Tribolium castaneum: one gene and its partners. The main gene of each other region encodes a partner of the protein of the gene in region 2 in a complex. Links are inferred from orthologs where the notes say so. Each region holds a gene or a part of one and is shown on either strand. Other genes may lie near its edges.

Region 1 (4,071 bases), on a different chromosome or scaffold from region 2:
TTCGAGTCGAAGTATTGGTTTAGAATCGACACCCAGGACACATTTTCATTTTCAGAAATGTATTTATTTTTACATAATTTTTGTATTTAGCAACAATTTTCATTGTTGTTTTAAAATGTTTAAATTTTCGTTTCTACTAAAATTGATTCGGCACTTTTATTCCTCTGAAGCCGCTTTAGCTTTTCAATAAACTGTTCTTTATATGTTACATGTTCGACAAATCTATATTTCATATGCAATATAAGAATACAAAAAAATAGTTTTACGGCTGTAAAAAACAATCAGCAATAAACATATTTATAAATACAGGGTGTCCGTTTGTCGTTTTTATTTCTGATTTCAACGATGTATCACAAAATATGATCAAATATTACATGCTGATCAAAATGGAGAAAAAGCATTTTTACGAAAATTGCTGATCATTATGTGATACATCGAATTGTTAGCAGAAATAAAAAAACTTTTAAAAAATGCAAGTATCAAATATGGCTAAAGTTGAGTGTCGTAACTCTAACATCAAGAACGTCTTGAAAAAGGCAATGACAGATTTGGATTTAAAAAAAAAATCCCCAAAAAAATATTCTACTTAAAAACGTGTATTTTTTTGGTTTTTGCTTTAAAAAATAAAAACAAAAATTACAAAATATTGATGGGGTCAATTCATAACGGTTTGCGTGTGGGTATGAGCTTCTTTCCTTTGCTATTCATGCTATGATGACTAAAAATTCAGTCAGAAGAGTATGAACAATTAGTATTAAGATCTATAAGAAGATAACAGGTCGAAAAACTACATTACATTTACCATATCCACACGCATACCGTCGTGAATTGACCCATTACAACAAATTTTGAGAGAAAATGTGATGTTGGCATTTTTATGGTTTCGAAACAGGTAATAAATAGTATTTTATAATTATTCTTTTACATTTGTGTTTACCGTATTTACTGACTATTTCGTCATTATAGTGCAAAATAGTATTTTTGCAGTAGCGACACCTAGCGAATACTGCCTTTCTAATAATTTAAGGTTCTGTCTTGCACGTTTCTGTCGATGGCCTGTTCGGTGGGTGCACCTTTCCTGACAGCCGCGTATTATTGAAACTGCATCCCTGGGTGTTTTTTCCGGGGCATTTGCCCGGTGTCAGGGCCTCGTGCGCCCCGTGCGGGGGCCGCAAGGCAAAAAGGCGCCAAAATATTTCGAACGCATCGCTCCCTCGTGCCGCTTGCCCGAACTAGGAGCAGCGTGTCCCACGTGAAGGAATCCAGCCAATGGGAGCGATGCCTTTGTACCCGCCGCCAAGCTGGTAGTGGCTTTCCTTGCACGAAATAGCTCATCTTCAAAAACACCCCCAAGTGTTGTATCGCAAGCAAGCAGTTAAAAAGCGCGAAATTAGCAAATTGCGATATTCGAGGAAACTTCGCGAGTTGTTTAAACCGAATTCGTGGTGCGCGGGGTCCGCCTATTTCAATTCCAAAATATCGCCTAGTTACAGTCGCCATTTTTGTTGGAGTTGGATGGAGAGGAGCTCGGATTTAAAAACCGGTGCTTTTTCGACAGTGTCCCGTTTTTGAGGAAATGTGCTAAAGGGGCGGCGAGTGAGTGTTTCGCACGAGAGGGAAAATGACCCAGCAGAACAGCACAACCAACTGGGTGATCCAGGGAGCCAATGGTAATTTTTAAAGGGTTCGGGGGTTTTTCCAAAACGGGGGCCCACAACGAAGTGGTGCGGGGGCAAACAGTTGCCGGTTGGGGGGCTGGGCGGGAAAGGACCGAGTTTCGGGGGAAACCGCCTCGATGTGGGAGGAAAAGCGGGTTCAGTGCACGTGTTTTATTCGTTTTTTCTGTAACAGGGCAGATGATTAAGGTGGTCCAGCCCAGTGGAAAGCCCATAAGTGGCATTGTGACCTCGGTGGCAGGGCAGCCCATGAAGATTTTCAAATCGCCGAACAGCCAGGAACCGCTCCAGGTATTCCACTCGTTCCCCCCTAAATTAATTTGTTTGTAGTTCGTTAAAGATAAGACGGATTTGTTTACATCTATTCCTAAGTTTTCGAACGATTGATCGAATTTTTATCTCGGGGTAATTGCACAATTCATTCATCTCTTTCATCTTTCTTGCATGTCTTTGCCTATTTTCGACTACTTCTGTTTTTGTTTCTAATTTATCTTGACCATAATTATCGCGTGTTTGTGTGGAGGTAGATCAGTATCGCCACGCATTTGTAATGGTTTCGTGAATTTTATTGGATCACAAAAGCAGTTAAACTCATAAGGTTGCGTCATTGAAGAAAAACCGAGCTTTTTACCTCTTGTAAGTTAAATATTTTAGATTGTTTTGTCGGAAACCGGTTCTCAGACCCCACCTTCAGTCACCCCTTTTTCTCTTAATAGGTACAGCAATATCTCAATAGTCCGAAGCTTTTCTCGTCCGAATAGGTTTTTAGATTAACACAAAAATCATAATTATTAGATAAATTATCGAGTGTTATCAACGCCAGTAACAAAACTAGTCGATTTAAACACTTTCTTGTCCTGTCCCTGTAATTGGATTAATCTACATCATTATTATTTCAAGGGAGTTATTAATTTCCACTACTAACTATTTTTATACTTGTGTGCTTACTAAAGCTTCCACGTTTCTTCTGATTGTAAACATAATTACTATGTTGCTACTGGTAATCCGAATTTTTTTGTAGTCCGAATCACCTTCGGATTAACGAAGTGTTACTGTACTATACAGTGTGTCCACTGTCCACCGCGCCCGGCTATTTTGAAGATGAATGGTTTTTCAAGTTTTGCTCAATATTTACCACGCGTCTGCGCATTTTCCACATCCAGTTTATTTTATGTATAACTTAAGAGTTCTTAAAAACTACTTTTCCGTTTTTTAGTACGTTTCACTTTATTATCGATAATGATTATTCAAATTGCTTTATTGAAGACGAGCTCATTAAAACAGCGGAGATAATTATGATTCTAGTCACAGGACAAAAAACGTCTACTTCTAATTATCTTGACCGTGGCTATCGGCAATTGCATTAATTTTTAATTAATAGTGGCCCCATAAAATATACATATCTGTCGCTATCAGATTAGCATCGCTATTGATTGCTACGTTCTTAACAAACGTTTGTTCTTTGATATCCCGTCAATAAAATTCCTAATGGAACTAGTGCGACATGGCAGATAATACCTATCATAAATCTGATCTTCCCATTAACCTGTTGAGGTATCCTTGAACCTGAGTTGAGACACTGCCAGTCTGCGATCACGATTTTTCCCAATCAAAATCGCTGGGACATTACAATCCAAGACCATGTTTGGGGCACACGTGTTTGATTATTTATTTACATAAAAAGCTTCAGGAGTTACTGTCGTGTTTGTTATTTCTGCTTGAATTGGGAATCCTGTTTGTGACAACTTTTTTGGCCCATTCTTGGATGTAAAAACGCGTTATGACTTCAGTTGCTTTAACGCGTAAAATTAATTCCTTTTGTTAAAGGGCAAAAGGTTCTTTCATACTGCGAAATAACGGCTTTTTGCGTTACTACAGTCCTTAATCTTTGCGATACATCATCCACGAAGGCACGCAACGGTTTCAAAGTTTCAAGCTTTATAACTTTTAACAACCTCAACTTTTATACATTATCGTCGATAAACGAAACAGGCTTAAAAATTATATCGAGATATTTTTAACCGGTGGTTAGTTGAATTCATTCGTGCGATTAGGTTTTCACATTGCATCAGTTTCTAGTGTTTTTACGTAAATGATTACTGTATGGATTTTTTACATAATTTAGATGGTAGTGGATATAATTTAACTTTGGACTTACTTTTTTTTACATTTACGCTTGTTTATATGCTATTTTAAGTAAGATCATTGTTGCACCTTTCATCCTAATTCGGTAGCAATAAATTTACGACTTTGATAACAGATAAGGTTTTCCTAGGTATAAAAAACCCTAGATAACAGTGTTCATGTCTGTTTTTAAGCCGAACGCATAAAGTGTAAATAAGTATTTTCGTGGATAGACTGGCAATATTTTCTTGATTGCTTTCAAGCTTTTACA
Region 2 (5,171 bases):
ACTGTTTTGTTAAATTATTATCAAATTCGAGGAGTACTGAGGTTTGGTAGGTTTGCCCTATTCGCGACCAAAATTATTATACATAAACTACAAGGTAGGTATGCATGTCCTAGTTATATACTCAGTGTTTTTAATTAAAAAAGTGCAGTTTCTTTCTTTATATTTGTGTAAAAACGTTCAGTCCGTTTTTTCTATACATTGTGTGATATTGTGTACAGGGTGTTTGCCCCCTGTGTATGAAATTACCTGAATTCAACAAACAAAACTGCGTTCGGCTATGGCTATAATCTCGTTCATTTAATAACATTAATTGTGTTTAAGACTGTACATTTGGTTTTCTGTGAAGTAAAAATTATTTCTAACCGGCTCTTTCATTGTCACCCCATCTCGTAACCTTTTCTCACCTAATTAATATTAATATTCCTCTCGAAAACTGCTCAATCATTATGTTTGTTGGGATATTTTATAAACAAGTTAAATCATTTACATAATGATATTTTATGCTGATACGAGCGAAAGAAGAATTCAGTTTTTATCCAGCTGTTATCACACCATGTCCACACTCAAGGTAAGCCACAGCCACATCTTGTAACCACTTGTAATCCCAGTGTAGTATTTGAGCGGTTTCGGGTCCGAATTTTCCTCGGAAGACCCCAGATGCCCCAACTCACTCCCGAAAGGGCAAAACAGCCCACAAAAGTGCCCATATGGGTTGTACGCCGAGCAATTGTCCGGGAGCGCCTTTACGGCACCCAGATGCGAAAACAGGAGGAGTTGGTTGTATAGAATCCGACCATCGGTGGGACACAAGCCCTTTTCGCCCTTTCCAGGGGTCAATGTTACGCACAACTGGACGGAAACAGAGCCCGACCCTAATCAGGTAAAAACCGCCACAAAAATTAAATTTATTAATTGGCGACCACCAGATGCGATGGAATCCCTTCGACTTGCCCAAACCCGGCGAAAACGTTGATTTTGTCTCCGGTTTGAACACCGTCGCAGGGGCCGGGGACCCCAAAACCAAACAAGGCCTAGCTATTCACATTTATTCCGCTAATAAATCAATGAAAGACCGCTGTTTGTACAACTCGGACGGCGATTTTTTAATAGTCCCCCAAACCGGGATTTTGAAAATCACGACCGAGTTTGGGAAAATGCAAGTGGCGCCGAACGAAATCTGCGTCATCCAGCAAGGGATGCGATTTTCGGTCGAAATTGAGGAACCGTCCCGTGGTTACATTTTGGAGGTGTTCGGGCAACACTTCACTCTCCCCGATTTGGGCCCAATTGGGGCGAATGGTTTGGCCAACCCCCGCGATTTTCTCACTCCTGTGGCATGTTACGAGGATCGTAATGTCGCAAAATACGAAGTCGTGGCCAAATACCAGGGCAAATTGTTTGTGTGTGAACAAGACCACAGCCCGTTTGACGTGGTGGCCTGGCACGGTAATTACGTGCCGTATAAGTACGACCTTGCCCGCTTTAATGTCATCAATTCGGTGTCTTTCGACCACTGTGACCCCTCGATTTTCACCGTCCTGACGTGTCAGTCTGAGAAAAAGGGCACGGCAATTGCCGATTTCGTGATTTTCCCGCCGCGTTGGTCCGTTCAGGAACATACGTTCAGGCCGCCTTACTACCACAGGAATTGCATGTCCGAGTTTATGGGGCTTATTTTCGGGGAGTATGAGGCGAAGAGAGGGAGTTTTAGGCCAGGAGGGGCCACTTTGCACAGTATTATGACTCCGCACGGGCCCGATTTTAATTGTTTTGAGGCGGCAAGTGTCGAGGTTTTGAAGCCGGCCAGAGTGGCTGATGGGACCCAGGCCTTCATGTTTGAGAGTTGTTTGGGGTTGGCTGTCACCAAGTGGGGGGCTAAGACGTGCCAGAAGCTGGACCCGGAGTACTACCAGTGCTGGCAAGGGCTCAAGAGCCACTTTACCGGCCCGAAATGAGATTTTTCAATAAATTACTACGTTTACAATTCGTGTTTTTGTAAATAAGCCTTTTTAATCCTGATTTATAAATCAGGAATTGAAGATAATTTTTTATGCAATTTCTATTCGACCTGTGTCATAAAATTTTTTTAATGAAACTTGGCGGAAATGTTGACTGTTAGCGGGTAATAAATGATTAAAATTCGAACGATTGTAAATAAAACAAGTGTTCTGGACAAAGTATTTATTTATTTGTAAAAAATGTTTAAAATATTGTGGATAACATAATGTTTCAGTTTGATAAACACAAATGGTCACACTTTCACTTAATTACTTCAGTAAAGGAAACGAGAACGTGGTATGCTTACAGGTAACACTAAAACTAAACATAAATAAAAAAACTAGACTAATTCGCTGGAGTTTCCATATCGGCCTGTTGCTCGGGCTCCTCATCGTTATAAATATTCTCGGCCATTTGCCACACTTGCATAATATTATCCTCAGACACGGAACAAATAACCCACGGTTCGTTGGGATTCCAACTAAAATCTAAGGAAAAAAAATTAAACGCTAATTACACTTTGATAAAAATTACGAAAACGTTAAGTAAATACGACTAAAGATTATTTACACAAAAAAAAAAAAATATCAAAAAAGATTATTAATTTACCTGAAATTTTGGCCGTGTGGCCCCCATGTATGAAGAGGAGCTCCGGAGGCCCATCCTCTGCATCCTCCGGACTTTGCTCCTCTCCGATTTTGCTCAAATCCCAGACATGCAGCCTGCGATCGGTCCCCGACGACGCCAGAATAGTCTCATTATGGGGGCTCCACTGCACTTGGAAAATCTCATCCTTGTGCGACTCAAAACTGTGCAATTTCAACTTAAGATTCCTCAAATCCCACAAAGCTACAGTCTTATCAGCGCTCCCAGTTGCAAGAATAAACTCCGAATAGGGGTTGAAACTGAGACAGTTAACCTCAGCAGTGTGTGCATCGACAGTGTGCGACGGTTTGCTCGTATTGTTACACCTAGTGTCCCAAATCATCAATTTCTGGTCGTCTGCGACCGAACCGAAGAGACTTTCGTGCAGAAGGTGCCAGGCGACGTCCTCCACCACGGCAGTGTGCCCCGTAAAAATGGTCTTCGCGTCTATAATTCGGTTCTCTTTCGGGGTCGCGTTAATGTCCCAGAGACAGATCGTGTGGTCATCGCTGGCCGAGAGCAAATAGCCGTTCAAGTTGGGGTTCCAGGACAGCCCGTAGCCCTCCTTCTGGTGCCCCCGGAGTCTCAGGTCCGGGTGGCACTCCCCGTTGGGGTCAGGCTTGCTGGGGTGCTTCGTATAGTCGAACACTAGCACGTCGCTTGAGGGGGTTTTTGTGGCTATAACGCACGGGTTCTGGGGCATGTAGCGAGCCCTGTTCACCTCTCCTTCGTGGTTGATTTTAATTTCAATCTCAATTTTCCCCGAAACTGAGCCAAAACCGCCAAACTCGCCCTTTTCGTTATCATAGTGCGAGGCATCGAACTGAGCGTCTTCGTTCGGGAGCTGGACGCTGGCGATCAGGAGGTGGTTTTGCTCGTCGGAGGTGTGAGTGCCGAGGATTAGGCGGTGGATGGAGTGGTCTTTGCCCTCGGGGCGCGTTACATCGGGCAGCCACTGGGCGGTTAAAGAGGGCCACTCGAGGGCATGTGTCATTACAAGGTCGTACAAAAAAGGGGTGTTTTTTTTCCAGATCTTGTACTCTTCGTTGATGACTCGCTCCTCGACCGCGTCGTCGAAGGTTTCTGTGTAAGATTTTTTGTGCAGTTGACCGGGTTTTAAGGTTACGTTCGCAAAGTTACAAAAAAAGCGTGATTTTGGCGAGGCAAACTAGAAAATACTTACCGGAGTCTCCCTTATCCCCCATTGTTACAACGAACACAAACGAATAATGTTAAAATTGATAAATTCAAGTAAAAATGAATGAGCCGTCCACTAAATATGACGCTAGCCCGCCAATTTGGAACAGTGGTGCCACAACGCCACAAGTCAGCAGATTCAAATTAAGCAAACCGTGGCCAAAATTTTGGCGGTGGTACGTTTTGATTTAGCTAACTCGATGCTTCATAGTCATGGTATTCCAATGTTTTATTAAAAAAATAGAAGGAAAAAATATATAATTGAGAGCCAACGTGGCAACAGGGAGTAAAAATTATGCGACTGAAAGCGATGAGCACGATTGTGTGTTGAACCGAAAACTTTAAAATTCACAATTGAATTAATTTTCAGTGATTTTTTTTAATATAACTTATAATCAGGTTGTAGAAAAAATAGAGTATGCAGCTTGAGTCTGGTTCACTAATTTTTCAGCTCAAGTTAACACTTTAGGATTTATTAAATAATGCACGTTTACTTACAGAGGTGGAGGTTAAAAAAAAACTCAGGTAACTTAAGAGGGTTTATTCAACGAAATATAAATGGAATCTCGGGCAAGATCACAATATTGAAGATAATCATTAAGGCACAAACTTTCAAAATTTAAAAAAGGGTTACTCAATATTAAAAAAATAATTAATTGCACCTAAAACGTAAAAATAAATAAAAATAAGAGCAATGTAAAAATGAATTAAGTAACTTGAGGAACAGGGCGATAAAAATTTATTTCGAAAAATTTGGGTAAAAAACTACGAACTCGAAGCTACACTAATATTACTAACACTCGTGGCGCGACTGCTCGGCCTCAAATCCACGTCTCTTTTAAAAACAGCGAACCCTTGATTAACCAATTCTTGTGCGATATCGACGTCCTTTTCACCGTTCACATCGAACAAATCAACACCGGGGACCGGAGAGCCCTCGCGCTTCGCCCTCGTCTTCTCCCTAACACAATATCCGTTAATTTTCGCCGACAGTTTCTTCCACTGCGCCACATGTGTCCACTCTTCGAATTTATCCACGGCTTCCACCGACCAACTCTCTCCCACGGGATCTAAAAACCCACTTACCCACCAAACGCCCAAAAAAATAAATAAATAATCGTACCAACTCGTGCTAGAAAACACTCAATTGCTTGAAAATGCAGTCGGAGGAAATCGGTCCTCAACTCGTACAATTCCTCAACGGGGACCAAATCCGTGTCCCCGTAATCAACATAGTAGAGTTCAGCTTGGGGCGGGTTATCGTCACTCAGACTGAGCACTTCAGCCCGGTACCATTTGCTGTCGTATTGGAACACAGCAGCGACAAGATC
Region 3 (4,033 bases), on a different chromosome or scaffold from region 2:
TTTGGGGTGCATTCAGGGGGCGCGTTGGGGTCGGTCCGTTCGGTCAGTTCAATGTACCTAAACCAGGCAAGTTAGGGAAAAAATAATCAGGGTCCCACCCAGCGAAGTTGGTAAAGTACCATAAAAAAAGTAATAAATCAAATTATTTTCAAGTGTAAAAGTATTAATCACCCTATATTTTATTGTATTTTTAACGTAGTTATCAATAAGTACTGATGATTTTGTTGATTTTTTTTGTTGATTCTGCTATTTTACAGTAGTTATTTTATTTGACGGAAACAATTTTTTTAATGAAATACACAAAAACTAAGAGTGCCACAGTTTCCACCACTGCAAAGGGAAATTTTCAAGTTTAAAACTGTAGTAGTTCGTTAACGCACTGCAATTAAGAACATAAAAAAGTGAAAACGTTTGTTATTTGTGTGTTATTTTGTGTTTTTCTAAAAACAAAATTTCAAATGTAGATTGAAAAAATAACTGGTGGAAAACTTTAATGAAACAATGATTGTTACACAACGTTGCGTCTATTATACCACAGACATCATCAAATGGAAAAAAATGACATTATGGAATTTAAAAAAGATAGTAGATTCAACACACGCAAAGAAGGTCGCACAATATTTTTTTTCCATTTTTTATACAAATGTATTATTTCTAGCCTGATGATGTATGTGGTATAGTGGACGAAACGTTGTGTAACAATCGTTTCATTATAAGTTCTCCATCAGTTATTTTTTCAACCAGGGATAAAGCATTCAAAGGACGTTTAACACTCCGTTTATCTGTTACCTTTTATTTTTTTATTTTATAATTAAATCGTTTAAATTTGAATTTATTTAAATTAACAAAAAACTAGGCTATGATATTGTGTACTGAAATAAGCGTAAACTATTTGTAAATTTGTGTTCGTGCATAGATTAGAGCTTCGAAAAAAATTATAGTTAATTTTCAAACGTTGACAATTATTATTGACAATTCGACTTTATTTCAGAGAAAACTTAAGTAACATTTTAATGTTTTAAAGAAAAACGGTAAAAAACATGTATTTTTCAAGACATTTCTCGAAACAGTCAAATAAATTATTCTATTACATAATCCTTTGGTTCTTCTAAAAAAAAGTTAGACTCCTCTTGCCCTTTTTCTTTGCGGTTGTAGTTCAATTTAACTATTTTACAAATTAATAATACAATTTTTTGTTTAAAGTTATATCTTCTTTGTAATTATTAAGACGCACTTAAATGATTGTGGTTTTAAAGGGAACTTAAAAAACTTTAACATGCAAAAGTAAAAAATAAAAAACTTCTTGACTGGAACTTTTCAAAAAAATGTCAAAACATCAAAGTTTTTTTCTTTCTCCTCTAATCTGACTCAACTGATTTTTTTTAATCGTATTCTTGGATTTGATATAATTATTTTGTTAAATGTGTTTTCGTCAAAAAAACAAGCACAACAATAAAAGTTTACCCTTAAAAACATTAATATTAAACGTTACTTCCAAATGCCAAAAGCCGAGTGTTTCATTAAAAAAAAGCATATTTGTATCGTAGCTTACCGATAAACATAGCCTACTGTCTGGACAATTATTTTGACATTATTTAATATAAGTTATTAATAATATGAGTGCGAAAACACAAGAGTAGCTGTCGTTATGCAACGAGCAGATGCGAGTTACTTACCTAAATACTTTAACTTTAAGCGTTTTCGTATGAGTGTTATTCAAAATTTTTTTGTTGGACTTCTTTACACTTTTTTATTTATTTTGTTCAAGCATACAGTGCGGTAAAATAACATGAAAATTTTTCAGAGACCTCAGAACAATATTTTATGATAAATGAACTCATTAATGCTGTGAGAAGATTAAAAAGTAAACACTTTTTTTTCTGCTCGAAATGTGAATTGATCGAAAAATGACCAAATTGTTTGTGCGTTAGATATTATACAGCGTCCAGTTTCGTTAAAGCTCGAGTTTCAAAATTAAAACTTCACGCTGTGAAATTATATACACGTATAATGTAAAATGAATATTACCAACTCGCTGGAAAAGCCTGTAAAAAATATAATAAAACATCGTACTTTTCCCTCAACTCCTCTGGGTCCCCCTTATCGGGAAACTGCGACGAAATCGCTTGGAATATAATAAAAGCTGGAAAATCGAGCCCCTTTTTCTTTTCCTCTTCTTTGGTCTTTTCCTTGTCCTTGTCTTTTTTCTCCCCTTTGTCGCTGTCCTGGTATTGCATCAACGCGTGCACCAGCTCCACAAAAAGCTCATCATCGATAAATCCCGACTCCCGGTCCCCGTGCACTTTCCCATCGTAATTTTTGATAAGTTCTTCGATAAACGTCCCGTCCTGGTCCAGTAAATCATCGCCCATGTATGGAATGTTATGCAGGACAGTTTCGTCCTCCACCATGAAGTTCTGCTGGATGGGGGCCCACGTGTACATGGTCGGGATGGGAGTCACCGCGTTGATAATCCGAATGGGGGTGACCTGTATATCGCCTGAAACTAACATAGCATCTTGGAGACAACAACTGGGATCAAACAACCTTCATTCCCGATAACTTCCGCCTTTTTCATGCAAGTCACATGCGAGGGGATCTCGGGCAGGGGCACCCAGAAGGCTTTGCTCTCAGTCCAGCGCTTCTGCTCGGCGATCAGGTTTTCGGTCATTTTGATCCGGTTCTGGTTCCATGCTAGTTTCACGTCGTCCGCTCTTTTGAACCTCTTTTGTTGTCTCAAACGGATGTATTCTTGCTTCACGTGACGCTTCCATTCGTTACTCACTTTCACTTTCGACATTTTCACGCCAATTAAGAAAGAAAACAATGAATGCGAACTGAGGGAAGGGTCAATTCATTTTGGAACGGAAGGAGTTCTATAAACACAGAAAAAACCAAAAATATAACCTCTAAGCACAGGCACCATCGACTGGCGCGTGCGCCGATGCTCTGCCGATAATCTAACCCTGCGAACGCCGTGCCCCAGGTCCCAACCCCCGGCCCCCCAGGGATGTGCCCAATCCACAGGATGTCATAATTTTAGGTAATAGGTGATAGTGAAGTCAAATAAGATAAAAATGATAGGTTTATTGTGTTTTAATTGTAATAATTTACACTACTCAACAATCGCCAAGGATCACCTGATTTTTCAATTTTCAAAAATTCTCAATTTTTGGACTTTGTGATGGTTTAAGAATACCTTAATTTGAATTTGCTTTGCCATTTATGAGTAAAATCATGAAATATTCGTACAGTGTGATGCTGGAGAAAAAGTTATAGTATCTAATTAATTACTATTATGTGAGCTACACAACAAATAAATGTTTTTTCGGTTATTAACAATTTTCTTAAAGTATTATATTGTCTGGAAAGAACATCATTTAAACACCGTATCCTTTAGAATGCCATTAGAATCTCCAGATACTATTTTTGTTGGTTTTGAAATCATTTTCAATATTTTAATTAAAAGGAATTGAAGAGAAATGATAAAAAAATCACCTACATTTGAAAAAAAATAAAATAAAGGGTACCGACTGTATATTAAAAAGCACTTTCATAAGTTTTGAGGCACGAATAAATAACGACTGCCTCAAGGTCTTATGACAGCAGTTTTTTAAAGCTATTTTTTGTAATTTATGGCTTTCAAATTTTGGTATATATTTGGGGACTTTTGTGATGATTTTTTGTGGATTTTTATGTCGTCCTCTTATTTAATTGATGTTTCAATAACTTTCCATTTTTCAGAAACCATCGCAGGAAGCTAGCCTGGAGACATGGAAGGTAACCGAAAAATCAAACGTGTTTTACAGTTATAATCGAATTTTAAATTTTCAGATCAGTTAAAAATTGAATTGGCGATTTTAATCGCCGTTTTAATCCTGGCCAGGATTTTGTACCTAGTCCACAAGATAACGACTGGTTTTAGTCGCGAAGCGTCCAGTAAAAGAGTAACCCCCTGCAGGACAGTCATCTGCATTGGTTCAGGGGGGCACACCACTGAAATGCTAACCCTTATGGCAAGCCTAGACTTTGC
Region 4 (2,802 bases), on a different chromosome or scaffold from region 2:
TTTTTTATTAAAATCTTAAATATTGATAATATTGTAAGAAACGTGTAGAAGAATGATGCACTGTTATGATACGACCAAGAAACTAAAAAAATTCTTATTATTTTTTAACAAAGCGCTAATGCTACGTTTCTACTTTTTTTACGTATTTTTTAAACAAAACATTTAAGAATGACCACACGCATGACAGAGAAACCTCAAAATTTCGGTTAATATAATTAATGTTTATTGTTTTATGAATATTAGTATTTTCAATTCATTAATATTTATTACAAAAAATTGTCGAAAAAATAAAGCATCTTTAGCAAACGCAAATTTTTGTGGTTATTAGTTCAAGATTTACAGCCAAAATATGACGGTTTCCTTCTCTTTTATCAAAGTTTACTCGTTTTCAAGCAAATAATTGCCCAAAATAAGCCGTTTTCATCCAAACTGTAACTTAATTCGTTCTTTTGAGCCAGAATATAGAGCGTGTTTAGTCTGTTTAATAACAGTTTTCTCGTTTCGAAGCAAAAAAACGTCTAAAACAAGCCGTTTTCATGCAAACTATAACATAGTTCTTTTGAGACAGATTGAAACGTGTTCTGTTTGTTATATAAAAGTTAACCAATTTCTAAGCAAAGAATCGTCCAAAATAAGCCGTTTTTAGTTAAACTGTACGATAAATCGTTGTTTTGAGACAGTATAAGACGTTCTCAATCTGTTTTATAAAAGTTTCCGCGTTTCGAAGCAAAGAATCGTCCGAAATAAGCCGTTTTAATCCAAACTGTAACATTTTGAGGCAGAATAAGACTCTAAAATTAAAACAATTTACCAAACACGGCAAAACCGATCGGTTTTCTGTTTTACATATTCCGTTGTTACTGCATTTTTTTAATACTTAGTTGCTGTTGCTTGAGTAATTGATTCGTTTACTAATTAAATTGTACTTACTGTATATCGTCAATTTTTTTAATTTCGCTGTTTCTGTTGGGCCTCGAGCGCTTCGGCGTCTCCATGACCCAGTCGCTGTCGTCGTTTCTGCTGGCACTCGGGGTCCGTTTGCGCGAAACGTTAAAGCGCGTGTTACTGACCGGTAATGGAGTGTTAACTTTGGCTACTGGCGTGGGAATGTCCGGTTCTTGCTTCATTTGTTTCTCTTGATATCGTTGGAGTTGCAACAGTTTCTCTTCGATCTCGGGATTAAGGTTTTCTTGTTTAAGTGCAGTTTTAATAGCTGCATAAATTCAGACAAAAAAATATGAAAAATACAAAATAAAAGAGGGAAGTTCTGGTAATAACTAGGAGACCCAAAGCAAAACGACTTGAAAATAAAGAAGTGCAAGGTTTTTGGCAAGGAAACTCCTGGTCGCTTTTTGTAACAGTTTTATTACACAATTTTTCGGATACATTTAGGTACAGCTTACATCATCGCATGGAAATTGTTGCAACTAGATTATAATAATTTATTTACCTCAAAAGTTTCCGGTAACGTCACATGAAATAAGCGAAAACGAACAAATGTATAAAAATCAGTCTTTTTTAGGGAACAAAAACACGAAAATATCACAGAAATAAAATACGCACAATAGGGAAACTTTTGATCGAGTAGGAACCCTTGCTCTTCTAAATACTGTTCGATTGTTTAAGTTAATTAAAACCGATTGACGAAGTCGTTTTGCAATGGGTAAGTGGTACAATTAGGATTGTACACAATTACAGATGGTTGATATAGCAACATACTTTGTTGTATATAGTCAGGCGTGACGACAAACTGCTTATTCTGATCACTAGAAGCGGTTTGTTGCTGCTGTGGCGACGTTGTGACACTCTGATTAGACTCCATATTCGCTTTCATGGCTTGAAGCAGAGCAGAAGTTTGCGACTGCTGCCCATTGACAAGCACTTGACGACCCGAAGTTGTCACATTTTCGTTCGTCTGGAAGGATTGTCAAGACTTAGTGAGAAAAATTTCCACCGACCGTGCACTATACTTTTGTAGGACCATAAAGTAAACAAAAAGCTGTTTCATCATCAGTCTTTTATTCCAACACGTGTTAGTACAAACAAATGATGTGAAGCCATGAACAAAGCCGCCTCACACCCACCACAAAAACAAGAATAAGTTACATGCTTCTCACACTTTAATCTCTTCTTAAATTAACACATGCAAAAGCACCGTCGAAAAAATGTAGACGAAAGAGTAAAACAAAGACGCACTTACATATTAATAAAACATCAATCAAAGGCCAGACCATGCGACAACAAGGTTGGTTAAAATTGATCTCAAGTCAAAAGTACCTGATTAGCAGGTTGCACTATCACCTTGGGCTTGGGGGTTACGTTGCATACCTGCTGTACTGTTGAAACAGTCTGTTTGACGATGTTCGATTGTTGTCCTTTGGCTGGAGTCGCCGCCGACTGTACGACAGACTGCTGGACGGGAGCTAGCGGAGGCGGTTGACTCGAAACACCCTCGGATTGTCCTTCGGAATTGCTCGGCTGCACGGCAAGATAGATCTTAGTCGGTCCCAAAACACCCTGCTTCCCGGTTGAAGCTTGCGCTAAACAAACATCACGAAAACTAACACAAGCTCCAGAGAAAATAAGTTGTAAATAATTTACAACTTGAGTCAAAATTTCTTAGCACTATATTAACAGTAAAATGACTCACCCTTTAGCAGTTGTTGCTTGACTTGCTGCTGCACTGCTGCCAACTGCTGGGCCGTAAAATCGGCCCCTTGCAACCCCTGCAAAACTATCCTCGGCCCGTAGTCAGTTTGTATCACCTGTGCTGTTACACATTTGATAACAGTTCCGGGCGGT
Region 5 (3,993 bases), on a different chromosome or scaffold from region 2:
TCATTTATTGACAAAATTGCAACAAATCTTAGTTTCCCACATAAATATGTATGGCGAAAAAGACCAAAGTAATGTCATTCCCTACCTTCATTTGTGATTTTTTTGGCCTGTTATTCTAGCGAATTAATGCGAATTACTATGAGTAAGTGGAAAAAAATCAAAGTGACGTAATATTCGATAACTTTATTGATAATCACTTGCTCTATTTGAGCGAAATTTCAACAGAAAAGTGAGAAGTGTGCTTAAAAGCAAAAATAATATATACCTAATTATAGGTAAAATAATAATTATGTGATATGTTCGGCATTTGTACTTCAAATTTTACAAAAAAAAAACGACCCAATTCTAGAAAAACTGATCAAAATAATTCACATTATTTTCGACCTTTCGCTCAAAATTCACGTCATTTCCGACGTATCAAATAATTTCTCATCTTGTTTTAACAAGTCACCGTAAGCCCACCGAAAGGAACGACAACTATCAAGATCATTCATTGGTCTTCTGACAAAGTTTTGCATATTTAAAATAAAAATCCGGTATTTCAAACGTAATTAAATTATTTTTGGCGTTTTAATGCAGTTTTACGAAAAAAGTAAAATCATCTTACACTTGTTTAATACTTACTTGTTTAATAATAAAAATACCGTAATTTTCTACGTAATAAAGAAATTGTTCAAAGTGTTTAACGAAATCATACAAACAACGAAATCATAATAAAGAAAATGTTCGGAGTGTTTAACGAAGTCATACAAAAGTGGTCATTTCACAGTGAGTTTCTCGCTTAGATTACTAATGATTTTTGGTCCTGTTGTAACCAATTTATGAGAAATAGGTATGTTTTTAATCAAAATGCTGAAGAAAGGCAAAAATGGATATTCGATGTCCACTGATAATCCTTTTTAAACCTATTTAAGCAAAATGTTAAATTGATTGAAACTAATAAATAAAACTAGAACTAAAAATGTCCAAAGAATATATAAATTTCAGAAAATTACCGAGTTATTAAAGCAATTGTGAAAAAAAAAACAAAGAAAATCACTCAAAACAAGAACAAAAAAGCCAAAATAAAATCATTTCCGATCTTCATTTTTGTTTTTTTTTTTTGACAAAAACAAAGGCAAAAGTAATATAAAACTAAGCAAGAAAAGTGAATTTTTACCTTAGAAATGTGTTTAAGTAGGTATTAAAAAAAGCAAACACATTCTTTGCCTTTATTCGATGAGATTTCTTAAAAAAATGCTTTTCATCTATAAAACGACTTTAAGTTAGCTGAATTATTCAGAGTAATACAATTTTCATCCTTTGTTGGAAACTTCTGACCGTATTAGAAGAAAATTTTACAACAAAATATTTAAGTAATTCTCGACATATAAAAAATGTTTCGAACAGTTTGCTTTAATACTTATACACCTCTTTGTATTTTACTAACCGTATTTGCAACGTTTTAAAAACATTTCAATAATGTTTTTCCCCTAGAACAGCACATTTTTCTCAGACAAATAGTGAACCGGTTGAGTTTAAATTAATTTAAATGAAACCAAAACGATGCTATGGAGCACTGATGCTCTGGGGGACTAAATTTTTGGTAAAAACATCGAGTTATTTTGTATCTCGTTTCGCCCCTTTGTCTTATTTTTAGAATACTCACCGTATTTGTGGAACGAGACTGTCATCACCCGGTCAGTGGTGTAAAAAGCCTCTTCGACACCGTCACCGTGGTGCACGTCAATATCGATGTACAACACGCGTTGGTGGTACTTCAACAGCTCCAAAATCCCCAGAACAATATCATTTACGTAGCAAAAGCCCGAAGCTTCGGATTTTTTCGCGTGATGCAAACCCCCGCCCCAATTGATGCAAATTTCGGACGCTTGCTTGTTCAATTTAACAGCTGCCGCCACTGAGCCCCCAGCTGAGAGTTGGCAGAATTCGTACAAACCGTCAAAGACAGGACAGTCCTCCCCTACATTAAACCTCTGCATTTGTTTGTTGTACTCAGACATGTTGTCAGGTCGGATGGATCTGAGAAATCGAATGTAGTCATCCGAGTGAAACTTGGTCATTTCTTCGGCAGTGGCTTTATGGGGGCGCTGGGAAAGTCAAAACTAAATAACACCAACAATTCATGGAAATTAAATACTCACATAAATCTCCATTTTTCTGTACAGACCATAATTGAGCAGCAAATTATGGGTCATCCTTATGCGGTGGGGCTTCATGGGGTGTCCTTGCCCATAATAGTAATTCCCAATATCGCCTAACAATTCAAAATTATCAGAATTGAATCAAAATTCACGATGGACTAATAACATTCGCCATCGTAACACCGTACAAAAAAGCGTCATCATCTCATCATAAACCAAGCTAACCAATCAGCACCGAGCAAAAATACCGCGACCGTAGTCTACCGTGAATTTCCAGGCTTACGGTTTCGAAAATCGTATTTACATGATAGCACGATACGACACAAAATTAAGCAAACGCATGCATTTTGTTGGCAAATTTCAAAAACAAACGCCCCAAAATGGTGGAATAATTCATGTTTGGCTGAAATTGGTGGCTACTTACTGTCGTAATAGTAACAAACACGTTTCCGACTGTGAGGTTGTGTGGCCATCTTGTACTGTAGAAAACTAAATTGTTTTTAATTACTTTGGCTTTAATTATTACAAATCACTGTTCACTTTGTAACAATTTGTTTAAATTATTAGAATTACGGCGGTAGCACAACACGCCGCTTTGCAAATGGCACCGTTGTTCCCGCAGCAAGGACGCCAACCTAGCACCGGTGGCGATTTAGTGTAAAGTTGAATTTCCCTACTAAAAAATAAACAGGGTGATTCTTTTCGTTTTTGCATTGTAATGCCACCATTAAGGCCGTAACAAAGCTTTCTTTTTCATTGTTGGAGTTGATTCTCCTAACTTAAAAAAACTCTCCTTACGTAGCGCCATCTCTTTTCTTTAGAAGAGTCCTTAAGACCATATCCACAGCTTCCTTGATTAACGAAGGGAAAGTCCCTTGACCCTTCATTAATCAAGAAAGCTGTGATTTTCAACCGAAGGGGTCCCAAAAACGTTGAAGACGGTTTTTTACCAATGTTCGAATAATGGAAAATTAAATAATACCTGAATCGTAGAAGATAATTCACCACAACTTTGTTCCTTAGAACTGTTTTTTCTAACTACACCGCTAATAATGCCACATTAACTAATGAACAAAAATCAGCTTTTCATACAAAAATTCTCATGAAAAAGGAAGCCTCTACTGTAAAAAACTTATTTATCGAAGAAAACAACAATTATATGTTATGAAGATTGGTTAGCAGTTTTCAGTAGAGCAAGTTCTAAATTCTTCTTTACACTTAGTTAGAAATAATTAAGGGGTTGCATTCCTAAACATTTTTCCCTTTACATTCGAAACTGAGAAATTCTTATTTCTTGCCTTTAAGTTTTTCAGGTTTTACTAAGATAATTTTACCACAAAAAAACAAAAGTTGTTTGGGCTTAATCTACATTTACTTGACGATATTTTAAAGCAAATACAATGTTTAACTATTAGTTTATCACAGAAACAACGAATATATTTTCAAAACTTTTAGTGAATATATTAAAAAAACAAGACGTGATAGACAAATGTGAGATATATTTTAGTTATTACGTTATTAGTGAGTGAGAAGAAAACAAAATCAGTATAAATTATTTCTTGGTAAAAGAAAAAATTTTTTGTAAACTAGTTTAATTATCATAACTAATCATAGGACCGGTTTATAAAAACGTCATTAATTTAATCAGTTATAAAATGCGTGATTAACTGATTACGTGACCAAATTGAAGTCATTTGGTTGGTTCATTCGCGTTGTTAACTTTTAACAACGAATTCAATTTTAACAGAGCCTTTTATAAACCGGCCCATAAATTTAAAAAAATTAATAATATTTGAGAGTTTAAAGCAGCGAAACCGCTTTAAACACAAATCTAGCTTTTTAGAAAGCA

The links. The genes of interacting proteins can lie anywhere in the genome.
Region 1: Caf1-55 (region 2) and Dp share a complex: the UniProt entries of both Drosophila melanogaster proteins name them as parts of the DREAM complex. The link is inferred for Tribolium castaneum from reciprocal best matches to the Drosophila melanogaster genes Caf1-55 and Dp.
Region 3: Caf1-55 (region 2) and E(z) share a complex: the UniProt entries of both Drosophila melanogaster proteins name them as parts of the polycomb repressive complex. The link is inferred for Tribolium castaneum from reciprocal best matches to the Drosophila melanogaster genes Caf1-55 and E(z).
Region 4: Caf1-55 (region 2) and E(bx) share a complex: the UniProt entries of both Drosophila melanogaster proteins name them as parts of the NURF complex. The link is inferred for Tribolium castaneum from reciprocal best matches to the Drosophila melanogaster genes Caf1-55 and E(bx).
Region 5: Caf1-55 (region 2) and HDAC1 share a complex: the UniProt entries of both Drosophila melanogaster proteins name them as parts of the DREAM complex. The link is inferred for Tribolium castaneum from reciprocal best matches to the Drosophila melanogaster genes Caf1-55 and HDAC1.

What each region holds. Positions count from the first base shown.
Region 1 is NC_087398.1:7,908,206-7,912,276, forward strand, and holds the start of Dp (transcription factor Dp-1), read left to right. Parts: upstream 1-1,271; 5' UTR 1,272-1,621; coding exon 1,622-1,670; exon of another isoform or gene 1,671-1,851; coding exon 1,852-1,967; exon of another isoform or gene 1,968-1,986; intron 1,987-3,834; exon of another isoform or gene 3,835-3,982; intron 3,983-4,071. UniProt on the Drosophila melanogaster protein: Component of the DREAM complex, a multiprotein complex that can both act as a transcription activator or repressor depending on the context. In follicle cells, the complex plays a central role in the site-specific DNA replication at the chorion loci.
Region 2 is NC_087399.1:660,670-665,840, forward strand, and holds Caf1-55 (histone-binding protein RBBP4), read right to left. Parts: upstream 3,987-5,171; 5' UTR 3,849-3,986; coding exon 3,827-3,848; intron 3,727-3,826; coding exon 2,608-3,726; intron 2,487-2,607; coding exon 2,344-2,486; 3' UTR 2,167-2,343; downstream 1-2,166. Other genes in the region: hgo (homogentisate 1,2-dioxygenase), read left to right, coding at 491-568, 614-880, 927-1,955; tudor and KH domain-containing protein homolog, read right to left, coding at 4,606-4,910, 4,964-5,171. UniProt on the Drosophila melanogaster protein: Core histone-binding subunit that may target chromatin assembly factors, chromatin remodeling factors and histone deacetylases to their histone substrates in a manner that is regulated by nucleosomal DNA.
Region 3 is NC_087394.1:34,717,798-34,721,830, reverse strand, and holds the start of E(z) (histone-lysine N-methyltransferase E(z)), read right to left. Parts: upstream 2,801-4,033; coding exon 2,548-2,800; intron 2,501-2,547; coding exon 2,074-2,500; intron 58-2,073; coding exon 1-57. Other genes in the region: UDP-N-acetylglucosamine transferase subunit ALG14 homolog, read left to right, coding at 3,774-3,780, 3,835-4,033. UniProt on the Drosophila melanogaster protein: Polycomb group (PcG) protein. Catalytic subunit of the Esc/E(z) complex, which methylates 'Lys-9' and 'Lys-27' of histone H3, leading to transcriptional repression of the affected target gene.
Region 4 is NC_087395.1:15,335,726-15,338,527, reverse strand, and holds part of E(bx) (nucleosome-remodeling factor subunit NURF301), read right to left. Parts: coding exon 2,651-2,802; intron 2,541-2,650; coding exon 2,278-2,540; intron 1,916-2,277; coding exon 1,720-1,915; intron 1,214-1,719; coding exon 931-1,213; intron 1-930. UniProt on the Drosophila melanogaster protein: Histone-binding component of NURF (nucleosome remodeling factor), a complex which catalyzes ATP-dependent nucleosome sliding and facilitates transcription of chromatin.
Region 5 is NC_087394.1:10,698,258-10,702,250, reverse strand, and holds the start of HDAC1 (histone deacetylase HDAC1), read right to left. Parts: upstream 2,801-3,993; 5' UTR 2,618-2,800; coding exon 2,569-2,617; intron 2,258-2,568; coding exon 2,145-2,257; intron 2,091-2,144; coding exon 1,649-2,090; intron 1-1,648. UniProt on the Drosophila melanogaster protein: Catalyzes the deacetylation of lysine residues on the N-terminal part of the core histones (H2A, H2B, H3 and H4).